Linked DNA regions of Saccharomyces cerevisiae S288C. Changing the gene in region 1 together with any one later gene gives a genetic interaction. Each region holds a gene or a part of one and is shown on either strand. Other genes may lie near its edges.

Region 1 (4,625 bases):
ATAAAATGTTTGCTGTAACTAATGGTGGGGGAAGATTGCAAAAAACGAAGGATATCAGTTCCATTCATTTCCAGGGATTTGTGTTGATATGTGGGGCTATGAATGCGTTGAAGTTTTCAACTTCTGTGAAGGAGTTAAAACAACCACTAAACAATCTCGTTCAAAAGCTCTAATTACTTGTATATTATTTTATACGTTTATGTCTATTTCAATGCAATTACGTGAAAAATAAAAGAACGCTACCATAAAAATGTTAAAAACTGGTTAAAAATGTCAAAAAATGGTCCGAAAACTGAAAAAATATTCGTGATACAGTTTGCATAAAAAAAAACTATTGTGCGCGATTAATATAACCTACTAGACTTAAATGACGACACTTTAATATGAAGTTCAGTAGTGTGAATTAAATAAAACAGTCAGTTCTTGATGGATTGTACCCTTTAAAGAATTTATCTTTATGTCGCTGTTACTACGAAAAGCGTGTGCGAGGTATTATAACTATTTTTCTGTATTTTTTATATATTTTTATTTGCCAAGTTAAAAATCAGTCATCTCAAAAGATTCATCGATTTCAGTGTTCGGAAGGCTAGTATACTTCTTCTTTTTCTTAGTTTTCAATTTAGATCCTGCTTTGTTAGAAGTGCTACTTATGGGTGCTCCGCCTTCTAACTGCTCATCTTGTTCTAAATCATCTTCTGCCCCGAGTCCGCTTTCCAGATCATCTGCCCATGAAACTGTCTTATTGGGACTGTCATGTTGTCTATTATTTGGATCAACTAAAATTGTGTGACGCGCTTTTCTCCTCACTCTTCTATCATACGCATAAACTCCTAAAACCACTATCAAAAATGTAACGATGGTAACTACTACCGCTTTGTGTTTATACATTGAAATCTCTTCTGCAAATTCTTCTACCTCTTCCTCTTCTTGTTCATATTCTGAAGATTTATGTCTACTATCCTCGAGGCCTTGATTACTTTGTTTTTCATTATTATCGTCTTCATCATCGTCATCGTCATCATCGTCGTCGCCCTCGGAGTTGTGATCGTCTTCATCGTCGTCATCATTGTCGTTATCATCATCGCCATCTTTATCTTTATTGCCTTCTTTTTCCTTTCCTTCCTCATTCTGCGCTTCCTGTTCTTCCTCTTCGAGGTTTTCTTTTGGCTTATCACCGCTTTCAGTAGTAGCATCTTGATCACTATCGTCGTCAGTAGTAATCATAACATTTTTCCCATTGTTGTCAATGATCATAACATCGTTCGAGTAAATATCGACAATGCCTCTACTCACTAAACTTTTATCGAAGGGTACCATGTGAGAAGCATTATAAACGCTAACAAACGTCAAATTTCTATCATACTTCACGTATCCGCTAAATTCTTCGCTGTCGTCTGTACTCTTCGATTTATGGATCCAATCGAACGAAACAGCATCGTCGCTAAATCCCTTTATTCCACCCCATTTTAGATTGTCTATAGTATCTAATACGCCCTTGTTATTACAAATCAAGTCTTTGTCACCATTGAACAAGACAATCTCTATTCCACTTTCAAGTAGACCAGGTAATAAATGGATAGATGGCTTTGAAATAGGATTAGACAATTTAGTTCCAACGCTATTAGTGCATTCCTTCCAATGATCAATTTTATCAGAATCAAGATGCAACGAATCAATAACACCAGGTGTGCTGAAGAATTTACTGACAAAGGAAATATCTTTCGGCCAATTCATACCACAAGATGGATAACTATCTTTTAAATTGAAGTTATACATGTTCAAGCAATCCGCTGTTCCCTTTTGCGAAGATTCCCTGGTATAAGACAATAGAAGGTTTAAAATATTCTCACATTCCTGATACGAAAAATGGGCTGCCTCATCTGTACTGGCAGAGTTTATCAGATTCTGGCAATTCTCGTGTGCGTTCGTTAAGTGTTTGAAATTGGGGTTGCTTTCATCAATCAGTTTCTTCTCCATAGCAAACGGAAGGTACGATAGGGACTGTGTATTGGGGTCAATCCAACCGTTACCAATCAATAGCGCCTTCAAGTCGTATGTATCCCCGTCGATCTTTGAAAATTTGTTATGGTTCAAAATTGCATTGGCAAAGAATGGTATGTATTGGCCAGCGTAACTTTCACCCGATAGTATGATTTTCCTAGTGAGGTCTTCTGGAAAAATCTTGAAATAGTTCTCCAGAAAATCCATAAAATGCTTGGTCACATCTTCTAGGTCTTCGTCAAATTTGTTTTTGTCGATTTTACCTTCGTCTTTATTTTGTTCGACAGAAAACCCAGTACCAGTAGGTTGGTCGATAAATAAAAGATCGCCTTTGGATATCCAGGACCCTTCATTTAGATAAAGTTTACCGTCTGAATTCACCCTAAAAGGGCCGGATTCGACCAAGGCACCATCCATGGAAGAGCAACCGGGTCCACCATTTAACCATATAATTAAGGGACGGTCGACATTGCCATTAGAGTCGTTATTGGTAAACTTCCAAAAAAAGTACTCCAAGTCAGAGCTATCCTGTTCATCCGCATCTTCGGAACGTAAAGGAATATGGCCAGCATGCATCTGTGGAATATTTGAAGGGTCTGGCACTTCAGATAACCCTGGCAACAGCTCATATGCCACTTTGTACTCCTCAGATGACGGAAGGGATACTGAGATCCTTATTAAAGCAGACATGGCTAGCCACGTTCCGAGCCACCTATTGTAAAACATCTATTCAGGTCTTTATCTCTACGGTATTCTATAGCCAAGGTACTCTTTAACCAAAGTATGCTTCAGCAAGCTTTTTCAAATAGATGGGAGTTGAAGACAATGATAAGAAATCGCTTTTCTTAATGTTTCCTATATTATCAAAATATTCCACTTTTTTTTCTTTTTCCACATTGTTTTTCGGTTCCGGGCTGCAGTAAGCAAATATAAATGTTGGTGACAAAACTTGAAAGTTATAGCCAAAAAGCTCGCAATTCCTCACCTAACAAAATGATCCTGTTGGAATAAAAATCAACTATCGTCTATAAACTAGTAGTCACACTACCAGTATATTATCATATACGGTGTTAGACGATGACATAAGGTATGAGAAACTGTCATCGAAGTTAGAGGAAGCTGAAGTGCAAGGATTGATAATGTAATAGGATAATGAAACATATAAAACGGAATGAGGAATAATCGTAATAATATTATGTAGAAATATCGCTTCCCCTTTGAGGATTCCTCTACCCTCGAGGAGAACTTTTAGTATATTCTGTATACATAATATTGTAGCCTTGATCAACAATGAAATGCCTACAATCATCTTAAAATTCACCAATCTCTCAGCTCTTATTTAAGCTTTGTTGAGACGAGAGTTAGTTATCCGACAATACTATACAAGACATTAACATCATTTTTCGTGCTGTTAGGGTGGTGTCTTTTCATTTGTTGCAATAAATGATAAGTAGTTTACCGTCCATTAACATGTGCATTAAATAATAGCATTATGTGAACATAATGTATATTTAACTAAAACTATTATCGAAGAAATCCGAAGAACTCATCCTTGTTAGCTCAGTTGGTAGAGCGTTCGGCTTTTAAGCGCATTTGCTTAAGCAAGGATACCGAAATGTCAGGGGTTCGAGCCCCCTATGAGGAGTTCTTCTTTATTTTTTTCCCGGTTCACTATTTTTCCAAGATTAAACATGGCTCATATACACCATCCAAAAATCTCTTAATTAACCTATAACCATTGTTCTCCTTCACCTCATTCAAGAATCTGGCTTCTGAATTGCCATTGATAGAAGAACAGTACTAAATTGCGCCGGAATAATGAAGAACATCCGGGTTACCTTAGATGTCTTTTTTTCCTTTTTTTATCACATTTTTCACTCTGCACTTTTTCACTTTCTCGAGGTCCAATCTATGACTAATATTAAGCGCATTTCATTTGAAGATATGTGTATCGCAATCTTTTTTCTTATCTTGTAGACCCTCCTATACACATCTCTAGACTATATATTTGGTTTGGTTATATCTTTAAGAACTTATTTCTTTTTCTTATTTTTCCATTCCACTAAGTTAAACCCTGCAGTTGATACAGACATTGAATAGGACAACCGATCGTTACTATCATGACTTTACCTGAATCAAAAGACTTTTCTTACTTGTTTTCGGATGAAACCAATGCTCGTAAACCATCCCCATTGAAAACCTGCATCCATCTTTTCCAAGATCCTAACATTATCTTTTTGGGTGGTGGCCTGCCATTAAAAGATTATTTCCCATGGGATAATCTATCTGTAGATTCACCCAAGCCTCCTTTTCCCCAGGGTATTGGAGCTCCAATTGACGAGCAGAATTGCATAAAATACACCGTCAACAAAGATTACGCTGATAAAAGTGCCAATCCTTCCAACGATATTCCTTTGTCAAGAGCTTTGCAATACGGGTTCAGTGCTGGTCAACCTGAACTATTAAACTTCATTAGAGATCATACCAAGATTATCCACGATTTGAAGTATAAGGACTGGGACGTTTTAGCCACTGCAGGTAACACAAATGCCTGGGAATCTACTTTAAGAGTCTTTTGTAACCGAGGTGATGTCATCTTAGTTGAGGCACATTCTTTTTCCTCT
Region 2 (2,360 bases), on another chromosome or scaffold:
GCCACATTTTTCTCAATTAAATATGCACTGGGTTCGTCGAGAAAATCCGACTTGGCGTCGGTACTTTCTGAAGATGTTTGCATGCCCAGTTTATATCTTGTCTTCTCTATAGCTCTGCTATGGTGTTGAAGGATGTTATGCGGATCAAAATAGCGATCTGTCTTATACCAATTGAAACTTTTCATCACCTGCTTTTTACTTCGGAGGCATTTTTCATTCAATACTAAGTTCCGGAATGATACAAAATAAAAATGGTATTGAGGCGACATAAGTTGTTAGCACAGCAAAGATGGTTGCGGGTTAAGTTTTCTGATCGTTCTGGGAGAGTATTTACGTTAAAAAATAGGAATCAATTAAGCATAATCATGCCGTTTTGTGTGCTACATATCTGTTTCCCACTATATAAAGTCACGTTAGAATGCAATTTATCTAATTTACTACCCCATTTTAGCGTCAGTGGATTGGTAAATCCCTTTGCTAGCAAGGTACTGTCAGAATATTTCTCCTTCCTTTCAAATAATTGCACCAATATCTTGCCAATACTTCACTTGAGATTGTTCTACAATATCCGCTGTCTTGGAAAGCAATTTTGAAAATCTTCTCCGGGATTTAATGTGAAAGATTCGCCAGCTTCAGTCTCCTGTACATTTTCCTCAGCGTTGCTTGTTGGCTTCTCGAAAGTTCTTCCCTCAATAAAACTTAGAAAAAGACGGTGGCAATCTTCTTCGCAATAAAAGTAGTAAGGAGTACTCCATATTTTATGGTCAAATAGATATTTATTCATCTTGTACGTGATAATGTTTCATTCCCCTTTCACCGAACGCTGGCGTGTGCTTACCTCTAACGAAAGCCTAATATTAGATGCTTTATTGTCGGTCTGTCCCGGAGATGAAAAAAGAGGATAGAAGGGACATGAGATGGTATACTCGGAAATTAGTCAGTGAAATCAAAATTACAGATGCCAGGAACATAATCATTATCGGCTTACAATGAGCCCCCTCGTAACACGTAAAGTGAATAACTTAAGTACGAATTGAACATGTCTTTGGGAAGGACCACATTTCCCTCAACTAAATTGGCACCATCTCCACTCAACACATCCAGTCTAATATTTTTATTTTGTGGTTGCGATTGCATACACGATTTGAGTACTAAATTTTTGACGAATGTAATACGGACCAAACAACAGCTTTTTTATTCACTAGTTATTCTTATAACTACAACACCAAACCCTTTTTGAGATCCTTTTTTTCTTTTTCTATTGTTTGGATTTTCTTGGCTGCATTATGCGAAGCGCAACAATAGAATGTGACAAAAACTGACAGAACCCTTATTAAACAAATATGAAAACCTCTAAAAAAACTTACAAATACGATAGTTGTAGGCCATGATGTTTGTACAGCTCGAATATATGATGCTCAATTCTGGCTTCGAGATGTTCTTGAATTCGATTCTTGTTCTCGTTTTAAAGAAAAGTAAGTATACTTGGTGAATAAAATGCTTCCGCTTCAAGGTAAATCAGCGTCAGGATATTGCTTTCTCCAGTATTCACTTTGAGCCTCCTTTTCTATTTGTGTTGCCTTCAAAACATATGCCATCAAAATAGGGTCTGATCTAATACTATAAAAGTTGTTTAGACCATTTGAAGTCTTCCCTGCTGAGACAGGTGATTGTGTATCCTCGGCACTATTCGATGAGGAATCCGAGTGCGAACCAGAATTCACTTCCTTGATAAGAGTGGTGAAGAACTCATGGCACTTCTTGCCGCTATAGAAATAGTACGGGGTATACCATAGTCTCTTCATGAATAGATATTGGTTCATATTATATGCGACAGTACCCCATTCCTTCCCCGCAGGCTTGCGTGCGATCACCTCCACTAAAAGCTTTATCATGAACTCCTGTTCAGTGATCGCTTTCCCGAATGTGAATGCTGCAACCACCATTAAAGCCATGGAGGCTACTATAAGGGACATCACTAAGATCACAGTGCACCCGTCGTTATCATGAAAAAGCACAATCAATGAGATCAAACTCACGATTATGATGATCATAAACATGATCGGTTTACAATGAGCAATTTCATAAAGTACATAACTCAGATGTGAACTGAATGTGTCTTCGGGAAGAGCTACATTCTCTTCGATTAAATGTGCACTGGGTTCGTCGAGAGTATCCATCTTTACGTCGGTATTTTCTGAAGGTGTTTGCATGGTCAATTGATATCTTGCCTTAATATGGCACTTATAGATGTTATCCTGATCAAAATAGCCAGCTGTTTTATGCTTTTTTAACGTTGTTCACCATTGTATTTATTATTTTTGAGGCATTTTTCACGTATTGTTGCAACGTCCCGAAGG

The links.
Region 2: mutations in KEX1 (region 1) and DFP2 together harm fitness more than expected from each alone (negative genetic interaction), as found in Saccharomyces cerevisiae (2 studies listed by BioGRID).

The regions. Positions count from the first base shown.
Region 1 is NC_001139.9:111,938-116,562, forward strand, and holds KEX1 (serine-type carboxypeptidase), read right to left. Parts: upstream 2,728-4,625; coding exon 538-2,727; downstream 1-537. Other genes in the region: YGL204C (uncharacterized protein), read right to left, coding at 1-68; ARO8 (bifunctional 2-aminoadipate transaminase/aromatic-amino-acid:2-oxoglutarate transaminase), read left to right, coding at 4,122-4,625.
Region 2 is NC_001133.9:184,745-187,104, reverse strand, and holds DFP2 (DUP240 family protein), read right to left. Parts: upstream 785-2,360; coding exon 560-784; downstream 1-559. Other genes in the region: pheromone-regulated DUP240 family protein PRM9, read right to left, coding at 1-269; KTD1 (DUP240 family protein), read right to left, coding at 1,509-2,213.